Arabidopsis thaliana: one gene and its partners. The protein of the gene in region 2 purifies or fractionates together with the protein of the main gene of each other region. This does not show direct contact. Each region holds a gene or a part of one and is shown on either strand. Other genes may lie near its edges.

Region 1 (3,947 bases), on a different chromosome or scaffold from region 2:
TTGAGAAAAAAAAATAGTAAAAGATTATCTACAATGAGACTAGTCTCATGTACTTGGTAAACCTAATAACAACCAATGATCCATAATAACACAATTTCTATGGCTTTTGGTCATTAAATTTAATGATGATGGAATAGTTAAACACAAATTGTAATCCACGCTAAGATGTGAGATTTTGATATTGTGACAAACAAAAATGAGATTGATATTGTAAAATCAAATTTGAAAGAAATAAAAAAAAGGATGGTGAAGTTCATTGAACAGCTTGCATCTAAAGTGAATCTTTTAGTTACTTGCAAATGGTCCATGAGAATAATATACGAAGATGGTTAACATTTTTATGTAATATTTGTTTACCGTTAGAATTTAGAAAGAAGCAATCTCTCGTACTCTTTCTATTCTCTTCCCCAAAAACCAAAGAGAAAAGAATAAAAGAGAAAGTGAAGTTGGTGAAAGTTCTTTTTGGATTAGTTGTAAATCCATGTGTTTAAAATTCGTTTACTTGTTATATTAGTTGGAGATCCCCGACCACGAAATGTTAAAAAACACATCAAATTGTATAATGACTTGGACAGAAAATAATTTAGAATTTATAGACAAAACACAAATACCTACTTTTCTACCAAAAAAGGCATTTCAACTCATAGTTTTGTGGTTGATAATACTTGATATGAATGTAAGTTGGAACAAAGCCCACCCCACGTGTGTGCCGACGACGACCCACGTGCCGAACATTCCGTTGTGGTTACATGTTGTTGTTGTTGCTGTTTCATTGGAGATTGATAGATATTGTACCGATTTCATTCATTTTGCCTCACACACAATACTTCGTGGGGCACATGCTTCCTTGATTCCTTCCACTTTCACTTCTCTTATTTCTCCTTTTCTTTCTTTTAGCTTCTTCTTATTCATATAACAACATCTTTAATAGTAACAGAGGAGCCAAACGGCATGATTATGATCTCACTTTGATAAAAAGAGGGCTAAAAAAGGGTTTAAAATACTAATAAAGCAAAAGAAAAACAACCGTTGGAGCTCATTTACCCAAAATTCAGATCCCCACAACAAAAGTATTTTGCTTTCTCTAAGGTTTGGACCATTCAAAATTAGCTTTTTCATTACTACATTGATTTCTCTAACTTGAAATGATTATATAACTTATACCTGACTAACACATATGATAAGAGATTATAACACAAGGACAGTAAGTATCCAAATTTCCTTGTATCCATCAAATCAAGGGTTCAGAAAAATCTATAGGGAACAAACAGGACCGAACAAGGGTAAAATGACATAAGTAGAGGAGCCAAAGAAGAGGAATTCATCAAATAAAATCAAGATTGATTCATGCCGGTACAGAGAGCAAAGTAAGTCAAAGTCTCATATTACAGAAGATGATTACTTGGGGGTGAAAAGTCATAAGCTAAGATCTTCCAACTGGTTCGAGAGCTTCAACAGTAACAATGCTGTTTCCTCTTATCACCTGCATCCAGGAAAAAAGTAGAATGTTTAAACAAAACAAATGACAAGAAGATTCTGTGGGTGAGTTAGAGAGATGGAGAGAAACGTACCACCATCCCAATGTCAGTTTTGTCATCACCATTGACTTCAACAGTGTTATCCACAACAAGATTCATGAACTGATCAAAGCCACGGAGAGTTCCAACAACCATTCTGTTGGCATTAAGCTTAACTACATTGGGGGTAACAACAAAAAAAAGCAGACAAGAACTTCACTTGACCATACCAAGTTACAAAAACATGATAACAAACAAAGTCTAGTAAAATTCTAAATGAACGAGATACAAAACCTAAGAATCCATACAACTCTTAACTTTATGTGACATTGATATATTCTTAACCAAGATTAGCATTGAATCTATATATTGGAATTGTAAACACAAGTTTAATTAGTACACAAAAACACGCAATCCCAAGTAATACATGAACTGAAATGGCATTAATATAGCTCTTAAGTTGAGAAATCGGGTTGCAAGCAATTCTCATCTGAGTAAGAGATTTAGGTTCGACTTAAAGACGCTTTAAAATTGAAAAAGTGGAAGAAGAGATCGAGCTTACTTTGGAGTTTCTTGTCCATGTACCTGCATTACATGAAACAAACGAAGAACAAAATCAGAAACACGAAGAAGTAGGAGCTCTATGAAACCAAAAACTTCAACTAAATGGATACAGAGAAATTAGAAATCAAAAGGAAAAAAGTGGCGAAGAGAACTTACTTCTTGAGATCTGGAGGCTGACCTGATCGACTCATACTTGCAGAATCGGAGAAGACGAAAAACGAGAGCTTAGGGTTTTTCTCAGCTACGAACACTTTACTCGATTGATTCCAGTCTCCAGAGCGAAAGAGAAAGAAAAAAAATGACGTCGGTCTGCAAAACTAGAGTGGTCGAAGCACCGTCGTTTCAAGCCCATTGTTAATGGGTTTGACCGCAAAAAAAGCCTTTCACATGTTTCAAAACATAAAAGTAGGGGTGTTCCGAGAATCGAACTCGGGACCTCTCGCACCCGAAGCGAGAATCATACCACTAGACCAAACACCCGGTGTTACTAATTAGAGATATTTAGTCATTTATATTACTAAATTATTTATAACAATTTATCTTGAATTGTGATTACCCATCCAAAATTATCTGAATTACATGTAGTCAAAAGCCATAAAACTAAAAGAAAGATACCCACTGCATCAATTAATTACCAAACCTTTCTCCTTACTAGGAAATATTGCCTGTGATATGGCTCCTCATAGAGACTAAAGAACATAAAAGAGCATTCTTTAAACATCCATGTTGTTTATGTCTTCGATAACAACCAAGAGCATCAAGAAATGAGGATATGATGAGTTTTAAGTCATTGCAAGAGGCTATAAGTGGGGTCTGATGCTTATAATGCACTAACAGCTCAGGGCTAATAAGAAATATATGATCATAATCTGCTAATCTGTTTTCTTTTTCTTGCAAGAGATGCCATTCAACACAATCTAAGCGATAACATTCTAATCAAGAATTCCAAAAGCCGGACTTGGGATATTTGATGTCTTTATCATACAATCTCTCGTATAGTTGTTAATTGCATTCACCACATGCCACAAATCAACTCTTTTCATTCTTAAAATTGACTTTTTTGGTTGAATAATTGGGCCTCAAAAACAGATTATGACAAGTTAACAACGATCTGGCTTGGTTTGATTTCGGAACCAGCACGACATACTAAAACTTGCATCGGACTTTCTAATCTGATTCTGATGAGCAACCATAGCATTAAATATCTCGATAAAGTATCCATTCGCCAAAGTTAAAAAGAGAGAAAATGTAAAATATCAATAAGCCAACTAACAGTAACACGACGCGATCAGTAACTTAACATTTTTTTTCTCAATACCAAAAACTCCAAATACAAAAAAACACAGCTTATAATGTTCTCAAAGCAACTGGAAAGATAAATTGGAGAGAGACAAAACTAACTTCGAAGTGTACCCAAGAAAATACCCACAGTCTCAAGAGCACATTGCAACGATGATGAGCCTCATCGTGCAATCAGAGTCTTCTTCCTCTTCGTCCACCCTTTCGGCGTGTACTGTCTGTGGGAATCGGAGTCACATCCTCTGCAAAATGCATTCAAGAAAGATTCAGCTTCCAATGAGCAATCATAACAAAACAAAACAAAACAACTTGAGTGAGACTAAGTTTGTGTGTTTACCAATACGACCAATCTTCATGCCAGAACGAGCAAGGGCTCTAAGAGCAGACTGAGCACCAGGACCTGGAGTCTTGGTTTTGTTTCCTCCAGTAGCACGGAGCTTCACGTGCATGGCAGTGATGCCAAGCTCCTGTCACATAAACCATTATAGATTATCATCCAGAACCTCAAAGTCAATTAAAAAAAGGCATGGACATCGAATCATTTCAGACCTTGCATCTTTGAGCAAC
Region 2 (3,917 bases):
CTGTTCCTAGTCCATACACCTCCGAGCATCCATAAGCCATCATCACTTTGAATCCTAGCTTCTTGAGTTTCAACATGACCTGTCCAAATAAATTAATATCTTTACTATGATTCTATGTTAAATATTAATGTACTGTGACGGAGCTAACGTATAAAGCAAGGGATTGATTATATATAACCTCAAAATATGGAAGTTCAACCAAATAAGCCTGATTGAACAAACATGTAATTCAAAACTCTGTGATAGTTAGTTTTACCTCAGGAGGAGAGGATCCTCCGCTCATAACCTGTACGGTCCATGGAAACGACTTCTTGACCGAGTCTCTTGCATTAGCAATCATGTTGAGAACCGGAGGCGAGCCACCAAAGTTAGTTACCTTGTGCTTCACGATACTATCAAATATAACTTCGTCGTTGACTTCCCTGAGACAGACGATGACTCCTCCAAAAGCCGTAACTGTCCAAATATAGCACCACCCGCTACAATGATACATAGGAACTGTACATAGATAAACCGGCATTGGTTTCATCTCATTCATAACACCAACAGCAGTTGCGTTCAGATAGGCACCGCGATGACTATAGACGACACATTTGGGAGTCGATGTGGTTCCAGATGTGAAGTTGAGGGCGATTGGATCACATTCGTCAACTGGTCGTATTGGTTTGAAATTAGGGTTTCCAGTGGAGAGAAAATCCTCGTATTGTTCATATTTTGATTGCTCTGTTGGATTTTCTGTGATTGTGATGATGAGAGGTTTTTCTTCAATGTTTGAGAGGAGACTGAGAGATTCTTCAGCGACAGAGAGGAACTCAGAGTCAACGAAGAATACTTTTGGCTTCGTTTTCTCCAGCGCCATCGCAAGCATCTGAGAATCGAATGTCGTGTTCAACACGCAAAGTACTGCTCCAGCCATCGGAGCTCCAAAATAAAGCTCGCATAACGCAGGAACATTTGGCGCTAAAGCAGCCACCTGATAAAAGAAATAGTTTAAACAAAAGAAAAAAGTATGACCAATATATAAAAGTCGTTTAACCACTTACAACGTCATGGCGAGAGAGACCAAGGTCAGAGAGAGCAGATGCAAGGCGGACGCAACGGTCACGTGTTTGGTGCCACGTGTACTGAATATCACCATACACGACAGAGGTTCTGGAGCCGAAGACGACAGCAGCTCTCTCGAGAAAGCTGATCGGAGAAAGCGGGACGTAATTCGCTGAGCACCTCATTGTTCCTTCCATTTCTTTTCTATTGTTATTCTCTATTGAGCTACTAAAATCATATAAAAATTGTGGAGTATTTATAGGCAAACTATTTTGTGTAACGCTCCAAACAATTAATATGGAATCTTTGATTAATATGGACTACAAGAAGCCAAATTGGCAATTAAATCAGAATCTGTGAAGAAGATTTGTACATTGCAACATCTGTTTAGAGAATCTGAGTTGTCACAACTTTTTTTTTTGAATCTAATCACCACTCGGCTAGTTGTCACAAGTGTAGAGGAGCTTTAATTTACAAACAGTTCTTATCTTTTTATTTTTTTGGGTCAACTAAACAAATCTTATCTTATCTTATACTAATAAAACTTAAGAGTAAAAACAAAGTAACAAAAAAGGCACACAACATTCAACTAATGGGCCCAATAAACTAATGGGCCGATCCAAAATCTAAATAAGAAGTCCATAAGAGTGTGGAGCTTTAACGAGAGAAGCTAAATTGTTCAAAGCTTTTTGGCTGCTAAAAAGGAAAAGGGAAGGTTCAATTAGGGTTTAGTGAATCGACGAAGATGAGTCGGAGTTTGGGGATTCCGGTGAAGCTTCTTCACGAATCGTCCGGTCATATCGTGAGTGTAGAGATGAAGAGCGGTGAGCTTTACAGAGGAAGCATGATCGAGTGTGAGGATAATTGGAACTGTCAGCTCGAGAACATCACCTATACGGCCAAGGTAATGTCTTACTAAGTTACTAGGGTTTCGTTTCTTGGCCATTGCCTATGTAGGAGCTGTGAACAGTTTAGCTTCTTAGGTTGTCTCTTTCTTGTGATGTTGAGAGTAGTTCAATTTTGGAGGAGAATTGAGAATCCTTGTGAAATTCTTGACCCTTAAATTGTGTTCCTAGTAGTGATTGGGTTTAGTTCCTGTATATGCTAGTAGTAGAGAAGAAATGTTATTACAGGTCTTGCTTATGTTGTTACTATGTAGAATCATGACATGTTTGCGATTAAACAAATTACAAGACTATATAATTGATCTTGAATTGTTACTACAGATATATGCTCTTACACATTTGTAGATTGTGATTAGAAATTTAGTATCTTCTATTCATGATTGTTACTAAACTTTCGTTTGGGCTCTTTATGGAACAGGATGGTAAGGTATCACAGCTTGAGCATGTCTTCATTCGAGGCAGCTTAGTCAGGTGCTGCTAGATATAAACTCCTTTTGACATCTCTGCTTGTTTCCTACTTATTTACTTTTGTTGGAGTATTCTTTTTCAACTTAGCTGACTGTTATGTGACATTTTGTAAAATCTTGACAGGTTTTTAGTCATACCAGACATGTTAAAGAATGCTCCAATGTTCAAGGATGTTAGGGGCAAGGTAAACTTCTTGAACGTGATGGAGAATATCAATCCCATCTATGCTTTATAAACATGGAAGCTAATAAACATCTTGTTTACTTGATCAATACAGGGAAAGAGCGCTTCACTAGGTGTAGGCAGAGGTAGAGGTGCTGCAATGCGAGCCAAAGTAAGTTCACCTTTGCCTAAGTCCTTAATGTTTCTGATTTACATCTCAAGAAGACAATGTTGACAATTCAAAGCAACTAATTGAATTTTGTGATGTCATACTCAGGGTACTGGGCGTGGAACAGGAGGAGGAAGAGGGGCTGTGCCACCTGTGAGGAGATAGTTTAGTTAACCCTCGTAATGTAGCTTCGGCTCGTGAGACATTCTCTGCAGTATCCATGAGAATCCGCCATCTTCAGCTCGTCACTTATGCATTTAAGGTACACAGCAAGTAAAATCTCTAAGACATGGAGGGAAGAGAGAAAGAGGAACTAGTTCTGTGTTTTGGGTTACTAAGATGTTTGAAAAATTGACATGTTTTGTTAATGTGGTCATTGAGAGACTTCCCACATCTTATGTATAATATAGCACGATTCAAATTTCTATAATGAATGATTCGTCTTTTTAATCTTGGTAGAAATCAGAAATCATAAAATGATGGTTTTCTAAAAGCGGTCGTTTTTATCCATTTATTATATTCATTCGTTTATTAATCTGATAAAGATGGTCGGATAAAAACGGAGAAGACACTTGAGTTGTAGTAGGAAATAAAACATTCGACATAGGTAATGGTAAAAAGCGGCAACCGCGATTTCATGGTTTAGTTTCGGCCACCATGACTGGACCGCGGCCCGAGCGGCTTCAGCATAGGTAGTTGTAAAATCGACTGGTTCTTGTTTTTTTCAAGAAATTTAGCGACTTGAACGACCAAGTCAAGAGATCAAAGTGATTATGTCCACAAAACCAGAAGCCTAATTTATTTTCGCGACAAATGTTGTGAACTTGTGATTGTGAGTGATAAGATATGACTTGGACATTTGGAAAGAAGAGCGGAAAAATATGTTGAAATGAAGAACCCTAAAAAGTTAAGAGTTTTAAAAAACGCTTTCTGTTATTCTCTTATCAACGAAAATGAGAAGACTAAACCATCCACAGATATTTCGAAAACAAACAAGTGAACCCACACAGAGATACGTACGTGTTCAGAAACTTCCCCCCCATATGATGCAACTTATGTTGCTCTCTCTTCAGTGATAAAATTAGGTCAAGTCATTATAGATTCCGTGTGACCTAATTTTAACAGTTGAATCACAGCAGAAGAAACCCAGCTGGTTCAATTCTTGCAGC
Region 3 (3,691 bases), on a different chromosome or scaffold from region 2:
ATAAAATCACACAAACAATTCAGAGACATACAAAATCAGGATTGTGAAGCAGGATTTAAAGTATATAGCTTAGTTTTTTTTGTATTTTTTTTTAACAGCAAAATCAATATTCACGTTTTAGACATCAGAAAATGAAGCAGGATTTGCAAGTTTGAGAGTTAAAAGTCAGTCATTAACAAAATCAAAATCTCAAATGCATCCACGATTTATTAATACAACATAAATAATGCAATACGATCCAAAAGAAACTACAAAAATAAAATTTAAGGTTCGGTCTTCTCAAAAAAGATCAAGGTTTTGTCTTCTTGGTATGTCCATCATGAAGTTTCTTCTATGGGACGTTCTTTAAATTTGCATGATATAGATCAAGATGGGTTGTTGCCATATGCGAGGATGATGTTGAATTGCCTCTGCTGGACCAACGTTTCAAGGACACTAAAATTTTAATGTCTTTGGCAGGACCGGCTATAAAATTTTGGGGTCAAAACTCAAACAAAATAATTTAAGATTATTAAAAAAAAAAGTGGAGCCAATTATCGTAAAATAAAAGTATTATTAACAGTATATTGAAATTTTAAAGTCTTGAACCACACTTTTGATCATATGAGATAATATGTTTTGGTGGTGTTTTAAGAGCAAAACTAAAGGAGATGGGAAACTCGATATTTGGTCGATGTGGGATGAGTGTAGACAACTTCAAGGCTGTGAAGATCCCAACACCGGCTCTTACTCCATTTCTTTTCAAAACTAGTCGATACATTCTCATACACAACTTATTATTAATAGGTTTCAGTGTTTTACATCAACCAATTTTATATTAATCGTTTATTTATATTTATTTTGTTGTCGATGAATCGGTATTAGAAATTGAGAGCTTGTGGCATGGTATATCTGTACATTCAAGTATTACAGTGGAGAAATTTTTATTTTGGACTGATATATTGTTGTTATCCCGAGCTAAATTTGTAAATAGGAAACACAAATTGAAACTTATAAAGTAAATCGCGAGAAAAATCAATTGATTATTAGAGAAATACTAAACAATCTGAAATGCAAATCGTTCGCTCAAAGTAAGCTCACGATTACACAACGATCAACATAGACTGCTATTGCTACATCACCAGAGTATTTCTTTGTCTCTCTCTCAACAATCTAGAAAAGCATAAAGCTTATGAGATGTAAAGGTAGAAAAATTTAGAGAAATATTTATCATTTTTCAATTAAAAATATAATAAGAGAAAAATGATAATGCATTATGTTTAAATAATATATATATATAAAGAAAAAAATTTAACCTTGTGAAATTTATAATTTTGTTAGTCTAAATATAGTATATGTAGATAAAATATAAAATTAGTGAGTATAATAGATGTGTCACCACTTACCACTTATTACCTAAATTAAATTCATTATAATGCATATTGGTGGCAGAAAAATTGTATATGTAATGCTGAAAAACAAAATGGTATATGTAATATCATTCGATAGAAACAATTCGAACAATTGGCCGCATTAGAACTACAATGACATAAAAATGTCTTCGTCATTTTAATTTTTTTCTTATCATTTTTGATGTTGTGGTGAAATTTTAGTGTAACTTTTAAAATTTATCGATTGGTGAAATCAAAAATATTTGATCAATTGGTTAGACGCTAAATATTTGATCAATTGGTTAGACCACAACAAAAATATTTAATTAATTGGTTAGACGATTGTAAGATATTACATCAGATTAATAGCGTCTAGAGAATACACTTCGACGAAAAAGGAAAATCACTTAAAAAAAAAAAAAAAAATACACTTCGACGAAACATGTCAATAGTCATATGAGTTGGGCCTTATAGTTTATTGGGCCTGAGTAGATTATTGGGCTTAAAGGAGTAGTAAAAAACAAGAAGACGCTAACACTAGACTTCCAAAAATCAAAACTTTAGGGTTTCAGAGCAAACTCTGTCTTCTTCAAGCCGAGAGCGAAAACCCTAAGCTCAATTCCGATTTTGCAACTATGAGTCGTTCAGGTCAGCCTCCGGATCTTAAGAAGTAAGCCCTTGTTCTTATTTCTCTCTTTCTGTTTCTATATCTTCGTGTTTCTGATTTAATTTTTGTGCTTAATCTGTTGTTTGTTTTTGTTTCGTTCGATGCAGGTACATGGATAAGAAGCTCCAAAGTAAGTTCAATATCTTCATCTTCTTTTATCGATAGTTAGGGAACTTCAGTTTTGTATAACACATTAGCTGAGATGTGATTGCAACTTTATTCTGTGAATCGAACTGGATTTGGTATTACTGATTTTAGTTATAGTGTCTAGAATCGAACTCAAAGTAGTTTTTTTTTGGTGATTGTGTTTTGATTTTAGCAAAGAGTGGATTTTTTCTTGATGTGTTGAGATTGATGAATTGTATTTGAAATGCAGTCAAGCTTAATGCTAACCGAATGGTTACTGGAACTCTTCGTGGGTTTGATCAGTTCATGAATCTTGTTGTGGATAACACTGTTGAGGTGAACGGTAACGACAAAACCGACATCGGGATGGTGGTAAGTCTCTCGATTCTGTGTCCCTTTGTCGTTAATCTTCTGCTGCTCTTGACTGATGTTTTACTTTGGTTTTGGGAGCAGGTGATTAGAGGAAACAGCATTGTCACTGTTGAAGCTCTTGAACCAGTGGGCAGATCTTCTTAGCTCGTTATATTCATTGGTTATGATCTTTTTGTACTAAGCACTAGCTATGAGAAATCTTGGTGGTAGATTCGCAGTTACGATGAATTGATTCTGTAAGAAGTCTACATGAATACTCTTTTCTTGTACTAAAAAGATTGCAATGAACCCCCACCGATGAATGTGATGGCTTGTACTTTTCACTCTTGATACAATGCTCAAACCTCTATTAGTCATCTTCTTAGCTTGGTTTATGCATCCATAGTCATCTTTGTTTTGGTACTAAGCATTAGTTCTGAGGAAACTTGATGGTAGATTTGCAGTTATTATAAATTGATCAAGAAGTCCACATCAATATTCTTGTGCTTTTACTCTGGATCCACTGCTTTGATCTTATATCTTCATCCCTTCTGTTAATGCTTAGTTGCTCTTTTTCTCTTTTTGTAATGAATGAGACTTTAAAGAAGACAAAAAATGCAGACAATGTAAAATGCAAAGAACATAAACAAGTCTTACATGTTGAGTTCATTGCCGAGAGGCTCCCATTTATCATGAGCGATTAGGACGACATCGATTTCAACCATGTTGACACAAAGTTTACTGAACTTGAAACAGAATGTGTATCAAAACTTGAAAATGTGATTGTGTCACTGTCAAGCACATAACCTAAATTTTACGATCTTTCCCAAAGCGCCAAAAGTAAAGCGGACAAGCGAATTCTACGAAACCAACAAGCCGCCACTGTGAGTGTCTCTCTCTCGCTCCCTCTCCCTCCCTCTCCCTGAAAGATTATCATGCTTCTTGTGGTGAAGCTGATGGCTTTTCCTTGATTTCAGTACATTGCAAGTCTTAGTCAGGCACTGGCCTATTGTCATGGAAAATGTGTGATTCACGGAGACATCAAACTTAATAATTTGTGATCATGAGGTATATATGGTTAAAGTGTTTTTGCATTGAGAATTCGGGATATTCATTATTTGCAGCTTCTTGTTAAGGATCCCTCAAAACAACTTTCCGTGGATTGTCAAGAACGCAG
Region 4 (4,048 bases), on a different chromosome or scaffold from region 2:
AATCATACCCGGTTAGTCCAATTGCTATCGATCTCTTTGAATGAATTTAGTGCTAGCTTGGTTTAAATTTGAACAACATCTCAAGTCAATTTCAACAGAAAGCAGATGCTCACTCATGTATTCGAGTATGCTGGAGTGGCGAGATCTTAATCCTCCTCCGGCTACAATGATGCTCGTATCCGATCAGTGGCAGCATGTCTTCGCTTGGGATCTGTCCCGTCTACAACAACACACGAAATACAACCTTTTTCTGGCTTATTCAACTGAGCCTTTCGCAGGTTCGGCACTGAGACCTTGTGGAGAGTGGATCTGGAGAAATTTACTTGAGACCAAAAGGGAATTTGTTCAGGACAAGTGCAGCAGCAGTTGTGAGGTATCTCCCATGTTTTATTGCAAATCTTGCTCTTACCAGGGCCAAAGCGTGGAGGGTTTCAGGAGGCATGTCTCGAGTGGAAAGCATGCAGTGAAAGTAAGTAAACATCCTCCTCTAGACCCAGTCAACTATAATGTTGAATAAAAATATAGATTTTGATCTCTAAAATATAAATTCTCGCAGGAGGTTACAAACCGTATACATCCAGAACTTGACTATTTGACGAGGACGTGGGCAAAGAACTACACTGCGAAGCCTGAGTACGCGACAGCTCCAATAGTGGTGTGGTGGGACATGAAGGACTGTCCGATTCCAGAGGGTTATGATGCTCGTCAGGTCCGTCCGAGTTTAGAAGGGGCGTTCAAGAAACTAGGCTACTCTGGTCCTGTCTCCATCACCGGATGTGGCGACCACAACAAAACCCCTGATCACATCCTGCGAGAGCTCTCTTCCACTGGAGTCGATCTTGCACATTCCATCGACGGTTAGTCCATTCGGTTAATTATATCCATCTCTCTGGAATTTCTACTGAAATGCTTTTCTGTTACTGTCTGAAACAGAAGTCATATACAGTCGCATGTTTATAAATATGAAGCAGTGGAAAGCTCGTAATCCTCCTCCGGCTACAATCATGCTCATATCCGATGGTGTGGTGATGATGTTCGAAAATTTAATCGCCGACTTACTACAAGAGACGAAGTACAACCTTTTTCTGGCTTATTCGTACAGGCCTTACAAAATGTCTGTCCTGCTCACTTCTGCAGAGTGGCTTTGGAAAAGCTTACTTGTTGCAGGTGTTTTTTTCTCCTCTCCTTATCATCATCATCCACTAATGACTCTGTTTCTGAGCTATATAATTACGCTCTCTGTTTCAGAGACAAGAAACCACGTTCTTCGCAAGTGCAGTCAAAGTCAAAGGGGTGAACCGTCTACCAAAATGTTTTCTTGCATGTTGTGTCTTTGTGATTGCAAAAGCCTTGAAGATTTGAGGACGCATCTCTCAAGTGAAGACCATGCAGTGTGTGTAAGCATCCTCCTCTGTATCATCATTTGAGCAACAAAACCTGTTTAACTCTTTCCATTTGTTGTCAAGCAGGAGCGTTATTTTCCTGAGAGAATTCGAATGAGAAACCGCTGTAGAAAGCAATATCAGAAGGCAAGTTTTTCTAATGATTGATTAAATATTTTCAAACATGGGATTTCTTCTTATTAACAGTTACATATATATCTTGTAGACCCAAGTACTAGAAGATTTTCGAAAGAGCAAACGTATGAGGAAAGCATACCGGACGGGTTTTGGTCATCTTCATAATCAGTTACGTCTTACTAATCGTTGAGCTCAAACCTGTCCTGGAAGTTGTTACTTCATTTTATAAGTTACAAATTGCTCAAACCCTACTTAAGAAATGTAACGAAAGGGACCTTGTACTTTGAACAACCCATCCAATGAGAAGAGCTGACCAGGCTAAACCACGAATCTGAGCATTTTTATTTCATGTAAAAGGTGAAACCATTTTGAAAAGTCAAAATCTCTGTACTCCTGTGAATATTTGAATGGGCTATGAAAATAATAACTAAACTGAAATTTATTCCAATTAGGCCTTAATTTATAAACAAAAAACATATGAGGATATTTAATGGGCTTTAGTATCTTAAGGCCCAATAATTAGATAGGCCTCAATTCAGCCCTCTTAAACCGCCACTGAGTTTGTTTACACTTGATTTCTCGAGTACACCTCATCATTCTTCTTCGTGTGAGAGAGATCTTTTTGGAAAACGAAAGCGGGATTTAGCGTATAGCAGGTAAAACCCTAATTTCTTCGATCTGCGTTTCTATGAAAATCTCTTGATAGTTTCTAAATTCATCGTTTTCCTCCTTTTCAGCTTCCACCGTTTCGCCGAATTTCATCGAGCTTCAAGTGAACATGAGGTAATTCTAGTTCTAGGTTTTCTCATCTTCGTCTTCTAATTTTTATCATTCTTCTTCTTCTAGATCTTCTCTAACACTTTTTTTTTTCTCGATTTCAGTAAACCAATGGAAGAGGATACCAACGTAAGTAACTCTCCCCGTCTTTCTCGTTACTGATTTCTCGATCTATCAAGCATAAACATAGAACCCTAAATTCGATATCTGTACCATGTCTATGTCTCTAGCTTTTTAGTGCCTGGAATCTTTTGTTGCCTGATCCTTCATTTTATGTAATTTGTTGATGAATATGTACCATTACAAGTCATGTGGTTTCTGTATCTTCAAGTAGTTGTGTTAGTGAATAGAAAACACTGTCCTGAGAATTCATCACAGATGGTCAGCTAGAGTTTTGGCTATATGAATGAATGTTGCTAGTTTTGGATGAGAGTACTTAACAAGGCAATCTTGTATTGGATGCATTGTTGTTTAATACTCTTCCTTGAATGTCATTCTTTAGCAGGGAAAGACTGAGGAGGAGGAGTTCAACACTGGACCACTCTCTGTTTTGATGATGAGTGTTAAGAATAACACTCAGGTGTTGATCAATTGCCGTAACAACAGGAAACTCCTTGGCCGAGTTAGGGCTTTTGACAGGCACTGCAACATGGTTCTTGAAAATGTCAGAGAAATGTGGACTGAGGTTAACATCTTTTGTATCTGTTTTCTGCCTGTGGTTTACTAGTAGACAAGTGCTGTTTCTTACATGGGTTCTCTGTGTTTTTTTTTAGGTTCCGAAAACCGGAAAAGGAAAGAAGAAAGCTCTTCCTGTTAACAGAGATCGATTCATCAGCAAGATGTTCCTGCGTGGAGACTCAGTCATTATCGTCCTCAGGAACCCCAAGTGAAAGAAGCTCTTCTTATGATAATTCTCGCTTCTTCTTGTCAAATCCTAATTGTTGCATCAACAGTGAGAACATGTTTTGATTATGAGCCTTAAATCTACTAGTGTTGCCTTGTATTTTTCACTTGTCTTCTATCTTTGACTTGAAACGCAGCCAGTGAACTTTGTAATATCAAAAGAGAAGTTCTTTTTTCTTTTAAAACTGTAGTGAGGTCCATGAATAGTAGTAAGTAAAGGTACCAAATTCTTACTCTACGTTTACACGATTATCAAAACAGAAATCAAAAGCGAAATAAATTTAAAGAAACGACGCTCTTGCAATTTTGTTATAAACCCACTACCAGCCGCAGTGGCTGCTACTCAGATTCTGCATTTGCTCAAGCTGAAGTTGTCTTGGTGGTGGTTGCAGCTGCGGAGGAGCCTTCCTTCTGGTCACCAAAGACACGTTGACGGAAATCTTTGACCATGAGAGGCAGTCCCTGACGAAGAGAGACCTTTGGTTCCCAACCTAAAAGCTCTTTGGCCTTTGTGATGTCAGGCTTTCTCTTGTGAGGGTCGTCTTCTGTGTTTGGTCTGAACTCTATGTTTGCATTCGGATCAATTGTCTCTTGGACCACCTTCAAACAAAAACCAACCAAATCACAATTATCAGAACCCAGGGTCATATATAAAAATCGAAAGGTATGTATAGAGAGAGAGAGAGAGAGACCTTAGCGAGCTCGAGCATCGTGAATTCACCAGGGTTACCGAGGTTGAATGGGCCGACATGTTCTCCTTCCATCAGTCTCATCAAACCTTCAACCTTTTGCATCACAAAAACACGAAATCAGATTGATCATACAATATTGACAGCTAAAAATAACCA

What was found.
Region 1: the proteins of SmD3 (region 2) and AT3G11500 fractionate together in Arabidopsis thaliana (co-fractionation; one large-scale study listed by BioGRID). This does not show direct contact.
Region 3: the proteins of SmD3 (region 2) and SNRNP-G fractionate together in Arabidopsis thaliana (co-fractionation; one large-scale study listed by BioGRID). This does not show direct contact.
Region 4: the proteins of SmD3 (region 2) and AT3G62840 fractionate together in Arabidopsis thaliana (co-fractionation; one large-scale study listed by BioGRID). This does not show direct contact.

What each region holds. Positions count from the first base shown.
Region 1 is NC_003074.8:3,620,203-3,624,149, forward strand, and holds AT3G11500 (Small nuclear ribonucleoprotein family protein), read right to left. Parts: upstream 2,405-3,947; 5' UTR 2,273-2,404; coding exon 2,238-2,272; intron 2,103-2,237; coding exon 2,080-2,102; intron 1,694-2,079; coding exon 1,572-1,693; intron 1,484-1,571; coding exon 1,424-1,483; 3' UTR 1,403-1,423; exon of another isoform or gene 1,131-1,402; intron 923-1,130; 3' UTR 760-922; downstream 1-759. Other genes in the region: AT3G11510 (Ribosomal protein S11 family protein), read right to left, coding at 3,555-3,622, 3,718-3,847, 3,930-3,947.
Region 2 is NC_003070.9:28,624,168-28,628,084, forward strand, and holds SmD3 (snRNP core protein SMD3), read left to right. Parts: upstream 1-1,703; 5' UTR 1,704-1,789; coding exon 1,790-1,948; intron 1,949-2,367; coding exon 2,368-2,420; intron 2,421-2,540; coding exon 2,541-2,601; intron 2,602-2,694; coding exon 2,695-2,751; intron 2,752-2,856; coding exon 2,857-2,913; 3' UTR 2,914-3,241; downstream 3,242-3,917. Other genes in the region: AT1G76290 (AMP-dependent synthetase and ligase family protein), read right to left, coding at 1-79, 257-973, 1,044-1,241; CYCB2;4 (CYCLIN B2;4), read right to left, coding at 3,879-3,917. UniProt on the Arabidopsis thaliana protein: Core component of the spliceosomal U1, U2, U4 and U5 small nuclear ribonucleoproteins (snRNPs), the building blocks of the spliceosome. May play a minor role in the splicing of cellular pre-mRNAs.
Region 3 is NC_003071.7:10,180,348-10,184,038, forward strand, and holds SNRNP-G (Putative small nuclear ribonucleoprotein G), read left to right. Parts: upstream 1-1,903; 5' UTR 1,904-2,005; coding exon 2,006-2,040; intron 2,041-2,144; coding exon 2,145-2,167; exon of another isoform or gene 2,168-2,413; coding exon 2,414-2,535; intron 2,536-2,616; coding exon 2,617-2,679; 3' UTR 2,680-3,023; downstream 3,024-3,691. UniProt on the Arabidopsis thaliana protein: Probable common Sm protein, is found in U1 and U2 snRNPs and may be part of the spliceosome.
Region 4 is NC_003074.8:23,234,866-23,238,913, reverse strand, and holds AT3G62840 (Small nuclear ribonucleoprotein family protein), read left to right. Parts: upstream 1-2,097; 5' UTR 2,098-2,176; intron 2,177-2,257; 5' UTR 2,258-2,298; coding exon 2,299-2,303; intron 2,304-2,401; coding exon 2,402-2,426; intron 2,427-2,799; coding exon 2,800-2,982; intron 2,983-3,070; coding exon 3,071-3,187; 3' UTR 3,188-3,424; downstream 3,425-4,048. Other genes in the region: AT3G62850 (zinc finger protein-like protein), read left to right, coding at 1-11, 99-469, 557-857, 934-1,427; AUD1 (NAD(P)-binding Rossmann-fold superfamily protein), read right to left, coding at 3,561-3,800, 3,893-3,985.